Anolis sagrei: one gene and its partner. The protein of the gene in region 2 interacts with the protein of the main gene of each other region in a pairwise test. Links are inferred from orthologs where the notes say so. Each region holds a gene or a part of one and is shown on either strand. Other genes may lie near its edges.

What was found.
Region 1: the proteins of MAPK1IP1L (region 2) and SS18L1 interact in binary tests that used the Homo sapiens proteins (3 or more experiments, as listed by UniProt). The two-hybrid records come from large-scale screens. The link is inferred for Anolis sagrei from reciprocal best matches to the Homo sapiens genes MAPK1IP1L and SS18L1.

Annotation. Positions count from the first base shown.
Region 1 is NC_090024.1:232,273,315-232,280,675, reverse strand, and holds the start of SS18L1 (calcium-responsive transactivator), read right to left. Parts: upstream 3,064-7,361; 5' UTR 2,736-3,063; coding exon 2,667-2,735; intron 1-2,666. Other genes in the region: PSMA7 (proteasome subunit alpha type-7), read left to right, coding at 6,296-6,391. UniProt on the Homo sapiens protein: Transcriptional activator which is required for calcium-dependent dendritic growth and branching in cortical neurons. Recruits CREB-binding protein (CREBBP) to nuclear bodies.
Region 2 is NC_090021.1:337,014,101-337,021,614, forward strand, and holds the start of MAPK1IP1L (MAPK-interacting and spindle-stabilizing protein-like), read right to left. Parts: upstream 3,036-7,514; 5' UTR 2,934-3,035; intron 1-2,933.

The DNA.
Region 1 (7,361 bases), on a different chromosome or scaffold from region 2:
ACCGCTATACTGTAATATTATTAGTAATATTACATGTAATATGAAATATACAATTATATGTATTATATTGTATCACATTATAATATTATCAATATTATATGTGTATACAATATATTATATTATTAGCACAGCACAATATTAGTATTATAGATTAATATATTGTACTATACCTCTATACTGTAATATTATTAGTAATATTACATGTAATATGAAATACACATTATATTATGTTAAATTATATTATTATATTGCATTACATTATAATAATATCAGTGTTATATGTGTATACAATATATTATTAGCACAGAACAATATTAGCATTATATAGTACTATATTATACTATACCACTATACTTTAATATTATTAGTAATATTACATGTCATATGAAATATACATTATATTGTAGTATTATTAGTGTTATATTGCATTACATTATAATATTATCAATATTATATGTGTATACAATATATTATATTATTAGCACAGCACAATATTAGTGTTATATATTACTATAGTGTACTATACCACTATACTGTAATATTATTTGTAATATTGCAAGTAATATGAAATATACATTGTATTGTCTTATTATTAGAATTATATTGCATTACATTATAATATTATCAATATTATATGTGTATACAATATATTATATTATTAACACAGCACAGTATTAGTATTATATATTACTATATTGCACTATACCACTATACTGTAATAATATATGTGTATACAATATATTATATTATTAGCACAGCACAATATTAGTATTATATATTACTATATTGCACTATACCACTATACTGTAATATTATTAGTAATATTACATGTCATATGAAATATACATTATATTGTCTTATTATTATAATTATATCGTATGAAATTATATTATCCGTATTATATGTGTATACAATATATTATTGGAACAGGACAATATTAGTATTATATATTACTATATTGTAGTATACCGCTATACTGTAATATTCTTTGTAATATTACAAATATAAAATTATTCTATTGTATTATTATTAGTAGTACATTGTATTACATTATTATATTATCAATATTATATGTGTATACAATATATTATATTATTAGTACAGCACCTTATAATATACTATAATAATATATTATTAGAGTATTAAATTATTATATTATCAATATTATATGTGTATACAATATATATTATTAGCACAGCACCTTATAATATACTATAATAATATATTATATTATTACACACACACAGTACTAAATTATAACATTATCAATATTATAATGGTATACAATATATTATATTATTAGCACAGCACCTTATAATATACGATAATAATATATTATATTATTACACATAGAGTATTAAATTATAACCTTATCAATATTATATGTGTATACAATATATATTATTAGCACAGCACCTTATGATATAATAAGAATTATATTAGCACAGTACAATATTGGTATTATATATTACTATATTGTACTATACCGGTATACTGTAATATTCTTTGTAATATTACAAATATAAAATTATTCTATTGTATTATTATTAGTATTACATTGTATTACATTATTATATTATCAATATTATATGTGTATACAATATATTATATTATTAGTAGAGCACCTTATAATATACTATAATAATATATTATTAGAGTATTAAATTATTATATTATCAATATTATATGTGTATACAATATATATTATTAGCACAGCACCTTATAATATACTATAATAATATATTATATTATTACACACACACAGTACTAAATTATAACATTATCAATATTATAATGGTATACAATATATTATATTATTAGCACAGCACCTTATAATATACGATAATAATATATTATATTATTACACATAGAGTATTAAATTATAACCTTATCAATATTATATGTGTATACAATATATATTATTAGCACAGCACCTTATGATATAATAAGAATTATATTAGCACAGTACAATATTGGTATTATATATTACTATATTGTACTATACCGGTATACTGTAATATTCTTTGTAATATTACAAATATAAAATTATTCTATTGTATTATTATTAGTATTACATTGTATTACATTATTATATTATCAATATTATATGTGTATACAATATATTATATTATTAGTAGAGCACCTTATAATATACTATAATAATATATTATTAGAGTATTAAATTATTATATTATCAATATTATATGTGTATACAATATATATTATTAGCACAGCACCTTATAATATACTATAATAATATATTATATTATTTCACACACACAGTACTAAATTATAACATTATCAATATTATATGTGTATACAATATATATTATTAGCATATCACCTTATAATATACTATAATAATATATTATTACACACAGAGTATTAAATTATAATATTATCAAGATTATATGTGTATACAATATATTATATTATTAGTACAGCACCTTATAATATACTATAATAATATATTATTACACACAGAGTATTAAATTATAATATTATCAAGATTATATGTGTATACAATATATTATATTATTAGTAGAGCACCTTATAATATACTATAATAATATATTATATTATTACACACACACATAGACAGATAGAGATGTGTAGAGCTCTGTGATGAGATGGCACAAAAGCAGTGCCCTGGATGACAGCCTTACCTTCTGGATAGTTTGCTGGGTGACCTCTCCTTTCCCTCTCGGGCGAGCAGAAGCAAAGGCCACCGACATGATGGTGGGATGCTCTCCCTCTCCCTCTCCCTCGCTGTGCTGGTTCCCTCCTTATTGCCTGTTTCCTGGAGAGGACGTGTCAATACAAGGGCGCCGTGCGGTGGGAAGAGATGTGGAGGGGAGACCTGGGCAGAGATATTGTTATGCTCTCCCTCTCTCCTTCCCTCTCTCCCTCTCTCTCGCCTCCGCCGCCGCAGTGCATGGGGAGGGGAGTCCGGGCAGATGGTACGTTCCGCGCCTGGCCAGGAGCGCCGGGCTCCGCTCCAGCCGGCCCCTCCCCGTCCCTCGCGCGCCCTCCCTCCACCTGGGCGCCCCTCCGCTCCCCAGGGAGCCGCGCCAGGCAGCCGAGAGCCACCTGCGCCGCCTGGCCCCGCCCCCTCCCCGCACCCCTCCCCTCCCCGCCCGCCCAACATGGTCCAGCCCAGGCGATGCTGCCTCTCCCCTCGCGAGCCAATCGCTGCTCTCCCCGCCTTGTGCCAAGCTTAGCAGCGCCTCCGTGAGACAACTGCGTAAACGGAAGCGGCTCCGCTACGCCAACTGCGTGCGGGGTGGCAGGTGGAAACTGAGGCGGGACCACCCCGCCATCCCAGCCGGCGCTGCGTTCTCTCAGCTCTCCTCAACTGCGCCGTTAGCGTAACGCCACTCAACCGCGAATCAGTCAACTCTCAGCTGCGCTATTAGCGTAACGCCGCTCAATTCCCCTCAGCTGCGCCGTTGGCGTAGCGTCACTCATCGCTCCATTGGCGCTACACCACTCAAGTCTCCGCAGCCGCGCCATTAGCGTAACGTCACTTAACTATCCTCAGCCGTGAGTCAGACAACTCGCATCTGCGCTATTAGCGTAACGTCTCTCAATTCTCCTCAGCTGCGCCGTTAGCGTATTGTCACTCATGGCTCCATTAGCGCAACGTAGCTCGACTCTCCTCAGCCGCGCCGTTAGCGTAACTCCACTTAAGTCTCTTGAGCTGCGCCATTAGAATCATAGAATGAAAGAGTTGGAAGAGACCTCATGGGCCATCCAGTCCAACCCCATTCTGCCAAGAAGCAGGAATATTGCATTCAAATCACCCCTGGCAGATGGCCATCCAGCCTCTGTTTAAAAGCTTCCAAAGAAGGAGCCTCCACCACACTCCGGGGCAGAGAGTTCCACTGCTGAACGGCTCTCACAGGAAGTTCTTCCTCATGTTCAGATGGAATCTCCTCTCTTGTATTTTGAAGCCATTGTTCTGCGTCCTAGTCTCCAAGGAAGCAGAAAACAAGCTTGCTCCCTCCTCCCTGTGGCTTCCTCTCACATATTTATACATGGCTATCATGTCTCCTCTCAGCCTTCTCTTCTTCAGGCTAAACATGCCCAGTTCCTTAAGCCGCTCCTCATAGGGCTTGTTCTCCAGACCCTTGATCATTTTAGTCGCCCTCCTCTGGACACATTCCAGCTTGTCAATATCTCTCTTGAATTGTGGTGCCCAGAATTGGACACAATATTCCAGATGTGGTCTAACCAAAGCAGAATAGAGGGGTAGCATTACTTCCTTAGATCTAGACACTATGCTCCTATTGATGCAGGCCAAAATCCCATTGGCTTTTTTTGCCGCCACATCACATTGTTGGCTCATGTTTAACATGTTGTCCACGAGGACTCAAAGATCTTTTTTGCACGTACTGCTCTCGAGCCAGGCATTGTCCCCCATTCTGTATCTTTGCATTTCATTTTTTCTGCCAAAGTGGAGTATCTTGCATTTGTCACTGTTGAACTTCATTTTGTTAGTTTTGGCCCATCTCTCTAATCTGTCAAGATCGTTTTGGATCCTGCTCCTGTCCTCTGGACTATTGGCTATCCCTCCCAATTTGGTGTCGTCTGCAAACTTGATGATCATGCCTTCTAGCCCTTCATCTAAGTCATTAATAAAGATGTTGAACAGGACCGGGCCCAGGACGGAACCCTGTGGCACTCCACTTGTCACTTCTTTCCAAGATGAAGAGGAAGCATTAGTGAGCACTCTCTGTGTTCGTCCACTTAACCAATTACAGATCCACCTCACCGTAGTTTTGCCTAGCCCACATTGGACTAGTTTCCTTGCCAGAAGGTCATGGGGGACCTTGTCGAAGGCCTTACTGAAATCCAGGTACGCTACATCCACGGCATTCCCCGCATCTACCCAGCTTGTAACTCTATCGAAGAAAGAGATCAGATTAGTCTGGCATGACTTGTTTTTGATAAATCCATGTTGACTATTAGCGATGACTGCATTTGTTTCTAAGTGTTTGCAGACCGCTTCCTTAACAATCTTTTCCAAAATCTTGCCCGGTATCGACGTGAGGCTGACCGGACATTAGCGCTACATCACTCAACTATCCTCAACTGCGAGTCAGTCATCTCTTAGATGCGCTATTAGTGCAGCGTCGCTCAATTCGTCTCTTCCAACTCTTTGATTCTATGATTCTATGAATTCTCCTCAGCTGCGTCGTTAGCGTAACGTCACTCATCGCTCCATTAGCGCAACGTCGCTCAACTCTTCTCAGCCGCGCCATTAGTGTAACGCCATTCAAATCTCCGCACCTGCGCCATTAGCGTAACGTCATTCATCGCTCCATTAGCGCAACGGCGCTCAACTATCCTCAGCTGCGCCATTAGCGTAACGCCACTCAACTCTCCTCAGCCGCTCCGTTAGCGTAACTCCACTTAAGTCTCTAGAGCTGCACCATTAGCGCTACATCACTCAACTATTCTCAACCGCGCGTCAGTCAACTCTCAGCTGCGCTATTAGCGTAACGTCGCCCAATTCTCCTCAGCTGCGTCGTTAGTGAATTGTCACTCATCGCTGCATTAGCGCAACGTCGCTCAACTCTCCTCAGCTGCGCCATTAGCGTACCGCCACTCAACTCCCCTCAGCTGCGCCGTTAGCGTAACGTCATTCATCGCTCCATTAGCGCAACGTCGCTCAACTCTCCTCAGCCGCGCTGTTAGCGTAACTCCACTTAAATCTCTTCAGCTGCGCCATTAGCGTAACTCCAGTCAAGTGTCCTCAGCCGCGCCGTTAGCACAATGTCGCTCAACTCTCCTCAGTTGCGCCGTTAGCGTAACTCCAGTCAACTCTCCTCAGCTGCGCCATTAGAGTACCGTCACTCTACTCTCAACCGCACTATTAACATAACGTCACTCAATTCTCCTTAGCGTAGCAAGATGCCCTCTCGCCGCGATTCCCAACCTAACAGGTGTTTTGGACTCCAACTCCCAGAAGCCTCAGCTGCCTCAACTCACGACCAGGGACTGTGGGAATCGAAGTCCCAAACCACAGTGGCTTTCGAAAGGCTGAGGCGAAAAGGGGGCGGGGCCTGCTCGTTCTCCGTCTGGCCAATCCCATTAGCCGCTATGACGGCGAGCGAACGGGATTGGTCGAGCCGGCGGCGTGTGGGGGAGAAGGGGGGTTACGTTCCCGACGCACGTCTAAGGCGTCATCCTGTGGCGAGAGCGAAGGCGCCCGCGCCTGCGCAGTGGGGGAAGGTGACGGTGCTGTTTCGAGGGCTGGCTGCTTCTCCTCCTTCTCCTGAGGCCTGTCGCCATGAGCTACGACCGGGCCATCACCGTGTTCTCCCCGGATGGGCACCTCTTCCAAGTCGAGTACGCGCAGGAGGCCGTGAAGAAAGGCTCCACCGCGGTAAGGAGCGGGTCCTGAGGGAAAGGAAGGCGGGAGGGAAGGAAGGGGAAGGCCTCAACTCTGCAGCCATGTTGGAAAAGACGGCCGCTTTCTCCACTGTTTACCTTCCACCGCAATGGATAGAAAGGCATCCTTTAGAGCAGTCATGGGCAAGCTTGGGCCCTCCCTCCAGGTGTTTTGGACTTCAACTCCCACAATTCCTAACAGCCTACCGGCTGTTAGGAATTGTGGGAGTTGAAGTCCAAAACACCTGGAGGGCCCAAGTTGGCCGAGGCCCTTCTCACCCCGAAGGGGACTCAGAGCTTACAAGATATATATGTTGTTGTTGTTGTTCATTCGTTCAGTCGTCTCCGACTCTTCGTGACCTCATGGACCAGCCTACGCCAGAGCTCCCTGTCGGCCGTTACCACCCCCAGCTCCCTCAAGGTCAGTCCAGTCACTTCAAGGATGCCATCCATCCATCTTGCCCTTGGTCGGCCCCTCTTCCTTTTGCCTTCCACTTTCCCCAGCATAATTGTCTTCTCTAGGCTTTCTTGTCTCCTCATGATGTGGCCAAAGTACTTCAGCTTTGTCTCTAGTATCTTTCCCTCCAGTGAGCAGTCGGGCTTTATTTCCTGGAGGATGGACTGGTTGGATCTTCTCGCAGTCCAAGGCACTCTCAGAACTTTCCTCCAACACCACAGCTCAAAAGCATCGATCTTCCTTCGCTCAGCCTTCCCTAAGGTCCAGCTCTCACATCCGTAGGTGACTACAGGGAATACCATGGCTTTGACTAGGCGGATCTTCGTTGCAAGTCTGATGTCTCTACTCTTCACTATTTTATCGAGACTGGACATTGCTCTCCTCCCAAGAAGTAAGCGTCTTCTGATTTCCTGGCTACAGTCTGCATCTGCAGAAATCTTTGCACCTAGAAATACAAAGTCTGTCACGGCCTCCACGGTTTCTCCCTCTATTTTCCAGTTGTCAATCA
Region 2 (7,514 bases):
TCTTTTGAAAAACCCCCAGAGGTGATTCCACTGGGCTCCCAGGCAGAAGCATATTCTACTATCAAAAAAGCTCTTATTGCCAATATATTCTTTCACACGTTTACATGAAATCTCCTTTTCTGGCATTTAAATCCATTGCTCCATTGTGTCCTAATCTCCAGAGAAGCAGAAAACAAGCTTGCTCCCTCCTCAATGTGACATCCTTTCAAATACTGAAATATGGCTGTCATGGCACCTCTTTTCAAAGCTAAACATCCCCAGCTCCTCAGAATAATAGAACTGGAAGAGACCTCGTGGGCCAACCAGTCCAACTCCCTACCATGCAGGAAAAGCACAACCAAGCACCCTTGAGAGATAGCTGTCCAACCTCTGTTTAAAAGCCTCCTCTGAATTCCAAGACAGAATGTTCCTCTGTTGAACAGTTATCACAGTTAGGAAGTTCTTCCTAATGTTCAGGTGGAATCTCCTCTCCATTGAGTCCTAGTCTCAAAGGAAGCAGAAAACAAGCCTGTTCTCTCTTCCTTATGACATCATTTCACATATTTATACATGGCTACCATGTCTCCTCTCAACCTTCTCTTCTGGGTTTCCTCTCAACAGACCCAGCTCTCTAAGAGAGGTTTTTCATGTTCTCCAGACCTTCGATTATCCCTTTCTCTGGATTCCTTTCAGCTTAAAGTCAATATCTCTTTTGAACTGTGGGGTCCAGAATTGGACACAGTATCCCAGGCAAAGAGGTCTAACTAAAGCAGAATATAATAGAGGAGCACCATGACTTTCCTTGATCTAGACACTATCCTAGAACTGCATTGGCTTTTTGAGCTGCTGCATGACACTCTTGGCTCATGTTCAGCTTGTTGCCCACGGAGACTCCAAGATCTTTTTTCACATGTTCTATTGTCAAGCCAGGCATCACTCATTCTGTATCTTCACATTTCATTCTTTCCTGCCTAGGTGTCATATCTTACCTTTGTACTTGTTGAAATTAAACAGGGGCTGGATGGGCATCTGTTGGGGGTGGGTGGTGAGAGGGAGGGTTGATTGCCACAGAAAGAAGGGGGTTGGACTAGATAGCCTTTGGGATCCCTTCCAACCCTATTATTCTATGACCCAATGTCACTCACGGAATCTTCGTGGCTTCATCTAATATTATATACTAATATTATATCCTAATATATATAATTCATTTAATATAATATAGCAATGTTGTATATTCCTATATAATGTAATATAATATAGTAACAGTAATATATATATAATTCATCTAATATAGTATTATACATTAATATTATGTATATATATATATGTATATGTGTGTGTGTGTGTGTATACACACACACACACACACATATATATATATATATATAACATGACATTTCTATGCCACCCTTCTCACCCCGAAGGGGACTGAGAGCGGCTTACAAGATATACACATATACAATATATGGTATTATTAGCATAGTACAATATCAGTATTAAATATTACTATATTGTACTATACCATTATATTGTAATATTATTAATAATATTACATGTAATATAAATATTATATGTATATACAATATATATTACATTATATGTATTATAGAATTCATCTAATATAATATAGTAATATTGTATATTAAGATATAATGTAATATAATAGTAATTTTAATATTATATATAATTCATCTAATATAATATTAATTAATATATAATACAATATAATATAGTAATAATATATATTATACAATTTATCTAATATAGAATTACATATTAATATTATGTGTAATATATTAATATTATATATAATACAATTAATATAATATAATAATATTGTATATTAAGATGTAATGTAATATAATATAATAATAGTAATATTTTATATAATTCATCTAATATAATATTAATAAATAAATAATACAATATAATATAGTAATAATGTATATTATACAATTTATCTAATATACAATTACATATTAATATTATGTATACTATATTAATTATTAATTAATATTATATATAGTATAATTCATCTAATAGGAATATTGTATATTAATAAATAATGTAATATAATACAGTAATAGTAATATTATCTATAATTCATCTAATATAGTATTATATATTAATATTATGTATAATATATTATTAATATTATATATAAGTCATCTAATATATTAATTAATATATAATACAATATAATATAGTAATAATACATATTATACAATTTATCTAATATAGAATTACATATTAATATTGTGAATAATATATTAATTATTAATTAATATTATATATAATATAATTCATCTAATATCATATAGGAATATTGTATATTAATACATAATGCAATATAATATAGTAATAGTGATATTATATATAATGCATATAATATAATATTTAATATATAATACAATAAAATATAGTAATAATATATATTATATAACTTATGATATTTTAATATATTAATATTATGTATAATATAATATATTAATTATTAATTAATATTATATATAATATAATTCAATTAATATAATATAGGAATATTGTATATTAATATATAATGTAACATAATATAGTAACAGTATAATACATAATTAATCTAATATAATATTTAATATATAATACAATAAAATATAGTAATAATATATATTATATAACTTATATGATATTTTAATATATATTAATATTATGTACAATATATTAACTATTAATTAATACTATATATAATTCATCTAGTATTATATCATATATTGTATAGTCATAAATAATGTAAATGATATTTTAATATATATTAATATTATGTACAATATAATATATTAATTATTAATTAATATTATATACAATATAATTCATCTAGTATTATATCATCTAGTCATATTGTATAGTCACATATAATGGAGTATTATACATATAATTCACTTAATATAACCTTATATTACATCTTAACGACTCACAGTGAGGAACACGGGCGAGACTCCTTCTCCTCCGCTTTCTTCTTTTCTTCTTCTTCACAAGCAAGGAAGCGGAAGCGGAAATGGACCCAGCTCTCGCGAGAAGAGAGGAGGAGCCCCTGACCACGTGACGCCCGCCGCGAGCCTTGGCAGCATGCAGAGCGGGGCAGAGTGCATCACGTGATCCAAGCCACGCCCCCTTTTCAGTCCAATCAATGGGCAAGCCGCTTCAGAGGCGACAGCGGCCCCTGCTGGTGTGAGAGGGAGCCTGCATTTACATGATCCAAGCCCCGCCCCCGCCCCGCCCCCTTTTCAGCGGAATCCTCGTCCAATTTCAGTCCATGAATGGGCAAGCCGCTTCAGAGGCGACAGCGGCCCCTGCTGGTGGGAGATGGGACCTGCACTTTCAAAAAGATCTTGCTGCTGGAGTAATATTACTATTACTATATTACAATATATGTTAAATATACAATCTTCCTATATTATATTAGATGAATTATATTATATACTAGCTTGGGGACCCGGCGCTGCCCGGGTTATTTGAGAAAGGAATTGTGTATCAAGGTTGGTCTTTATCAGTTATTTATATGCCTCGCAGTTGTCTCAGGAAGTTAGTGAAGTTACTGTGAGTCCCATTATCTGTGGTCCATCCCCCTCCAAACTGCTCCAGGATGGAGAGTTGGTCATGGGGGTTTTGTGTGCCAAGTTTGGACTTGATCGGTCATTAGATGAATGTTGCAGAGGTCTTGGGAAGTGAGTGGAGGTACTTGAAGTCCCATCATCCATAGTCTGTACTCCCCAAACCTCACCAGAATGTTGAGTTGGCCATGGGGGCTCTATGTTACAAGTTTGGTCTTTATTGGTTTTTGAATGAGTGTCGCTATGGTTTCAGGAAGTGAGTGAACGTACTGCAAGTCCCATCATCCATCGTCCATCTTTCAAACAGCACCGGGATGTAGGGTGGGTCATGGGGGCTGTATGTGCCAAGTTTGGTCTTGATCGGTCATTAGATGAGGGTTTCAGCAATCTTGGGAAGGAAGTCCCATCATCCATGGTCTGTCCTTCAAACTGCACCAGGGTGTAGAGTGGGTCATTGGGGCTCCGTGTGCCAAGTTTGGTCTTGATTAGTCATTGGCAAGGGTCTCAGTGGTCTCAGAAAGTGAGTGAGGTTACTGCAAGTCCCATCATCCATCTCCATTTTTTTCCAAATGACACCAGGACGTAAAGTGGGTCATGAGAGGTCTGTGTGCCAAGTTTGGTCTTGATCAGTCATTGCATGAGGTTTGCAGAGGTCTCAGAATGTGAGTGAAGGTACTGGAAGTCACATCATCCATTGTCCGTCCTCCTCCAAAACTGCAGCAGGATGTAGAGTGGGTCATGGGGGCTCTGTGTGCCAAGTTTGGTCTTGATCGGACATTAGGTGAGGGTTGCAGCAGTCTTGGGGAGTGGAGGTACTTGAAGTCCCATCATCCATGGTCTGTCCTCCTCGAAAGTGCACCAGGATGTAGAGTGGGTCATGGGGACTCTGTGTGCCAAATTTGGTCTTGATCAGTCAGTGGTCTCAGGAAGTGAGTGAAGTGATTGCAAGTCCCATCATCCATTGACAATTTTTTCCTAACCGCACCAGATGTAGAGTGGGTCATGCTGGGTCTCTGTGTAAATTGTGGTCCTGATCCATCATTGTTGGCAGTTGTAATGGTCTTAAGAAGGGACTCTACGTGGGGTTGCCCTTGAAGACGGTTCGGAAACTTCAACTGGTCCAGCGAGCGGCAGCCAGGCTGCTCACTGGAGCGACATACAGAGAGCATACCACCCCTCTGATGTGTCAGCTCCACTGGCTGCCGTTTCAGTCCCGAGCCCAATTCAAGGTGCTGGTCTTAACCTACAAAACCCTCTATGGTTCCGGTCCAGTGTATCTGTCCGAACGTATCTCCCTCTACGTCCCACCACGGAATCTAATAACATCAGAGGGGGCCCTGCTCTTGACCCCACCACTTTCCCAAGTGAGGCTGGTGGGGACAAGGAGCAGGGCCTTCTCAGTGGTGGTCCCTCACCTGTGGAACTCACTCCCGGCGGATATCAGGACATTGACATCACTCCTGTCCTTCAGGAGGAAGGTAAAGACGTGGTTGTGGGACCAGGCCTTCGGGCAATCTGCCAACCAAGTAAGGACAACCAGAAAAATAGGACCGGCAGGACTGATAAGTGTGGAATGAAACTCTGAACTATGAGGTAGCAAATATTGACCGGCAATAAGGAGCAATTGGTTTGTATCGGTTTGTATGAAATTTTTATGGGCTTTATTGGTTATAGATATGATGTATTGTTATTGTTTGCTATTTTGTGCTATTGTGTTTTATTATTGTTGTATGTTACGGGCATCGAATTGTGCCTTGGATATGTAAGCCGCCCTGAGTCCCCTTCGGGGTGAGAAGGGCGGGGTAAAAGTAAACCAAATAAATAAATAAATAAATAAATTGTTACTATAGTGTCTGGCATAGACACTGAGAACTGGGAAGCCCTGGTCCTTGACCGCTCCAGCTGGAGGTCAGCTGTGACCAGCAGTGCTGCAGAATTTGAAGAGGCATGAATGGAGGGCAAAAGAGAGAAACATGCCAAGAGGAAAGCGCATCAAGCCAACCCCGACCAAGACCGCCTTCCACCTGGAAACCGATGCCCTCACTGCGGAAGAAGATGCAGAGCAAGAATAGGGCTCCACAGCCACATACGGACCCACAATAACACTGGAAGACAATCCTCCTCGGAAAACGAGGGATCGCCTAAGAAGAAGAAGACTGATCTACACCATTCATGGAGAAAATCCAAAAGGACTCCAGCTGGAAAATCTACAAAGTCTTGACTGGTAGGTCTACTCGGGTAACCAGAAGCAATTGGAGCCGGGAGTAGAAGCCCACACCAGCAGAACCTAGAAAGCAGATTGCCCGGGAGGGTCAAAAAGGGTTTTCCTTGTTAAAGAAAGAAATAGTTCTCCAAGCAAGTTGCCTGTCCTTTGTAGACAAGTTAAGAAGCATTTGTTTAATTTGTTGAAGATCCAAGAAGTATTTGATTGCTTGTTGAAGACGTAAGAAATGATAAAGAACTTTGTTAAACATGAGCCAACAATATGATGTGGTGGCAAAAAAAGCCAATGGGATTTTGGCCTGCATCAATAGGAGCCTAGTGTCTAGATCTAGGGAAGTAATGCTACCCCTCTATTCTGCTGTGGTTAGACCACACCTGGAATATTGTGTCCAATTCTGGGCACCACAATTCAAGAGAGATATTGACAAGCTGGAATGTGTCCAGAGGAGAGCGACTAAAATGATAAAAGGTCTGGAGAACAAGCCCTATGAGGAGCGACTTAAGGAGCTGGGCATGTTTAGCCTGAAGAAGAGAAGGCTGAGAGGGGATATGATAGCCATGTATAAATCTGTGAGAGGAAGCCACAGGGAGGAGGGAGCAAGCTTGTTTTCTGCTTCCCTGGAGACTAGGACGCAATGGAACAATGGCTTCAAACTACAAGAGAGGAGATTCCATCTGAACATTAGGAAGAACTTCCTGACTGTGAGAGCCATTCAGCAGTAGAACTCTCTGCCCCGGAGTGTGGTGGAGGCTCCTTCTTTGGAAGCTTTTAAACAGAGGCTGGATGGCCATCTGTCAGGGGTGATTTGAATGCAATATTCCTGCTTCTTGGCAGAATGGGGTTGGACTGGATGGCCCAGGAGGTCTCTTCCAACTCTTTGATTCTATGATTCTATGAACATGAAGAAGAGCTTCCTGACTGTGAGAGCCGTTCAGCAGTGGAATTCTCTGCCCCGGAGTGTGGTGGAGGCTCCTTCTTTGGAAGCTTTTAAACAGAGGCTGGATGGCCATCTGTCAGGGGTGATTTGAATGCAATATTCCTGCTTCTTGGCAGAATGGGGTTGGACTGGATGGCCCAGGAGGTCTCTTCCAACTCTTTGATTCTATGATTCTATAAACTTTTTAAGCTTCTAAAGACTTTTGTATAGGAAAATCCTTAGGGCCTCTCACTCGAGGCACCCCGGCTTCCCGCTGGGCACAAAGAGCACGTCCTGTTCAAAAGCCAACTGCTATAGGCCCAGCGCGTGACCGCGCAACAGTAACCTTAAAAACAGGCACGATCATCTTAACTATTTTGCTGTTAACCTTCCTTGATTCTCTTCTGTGTGTTCTCCAAACATGGCTTTGCAAACATTATATAAATAATTGGAAACATCCTCCCATGCCTCCCCCCATCTCCACTTCTGTCCTTAGGGATACTTATGACGACAAGGACAAACCCAGCGAATTCCATGGCAATTGCCTAATTCTTCCGACTCCCAGGGCTATTAATGTAATGCTTGCTAGTTCCTCATGTTGGAACAGAGGAGGAAGAGATTATGCCGAAGCAGAGCGGCATTTGTGAAATAGCAGCTGGTCTCCCTTGAGGAATTGGATAGACGCTTCACTGATAAATTTTAAAAGGAAAAGCTCTCACAAACTGCTTCGCACGCAAGGCTTGCAAAGGGGAGTGTGGTTTGGTGCTCAGGTTGTTGTTTTGGTGTGCATCCACACAGTAGAATT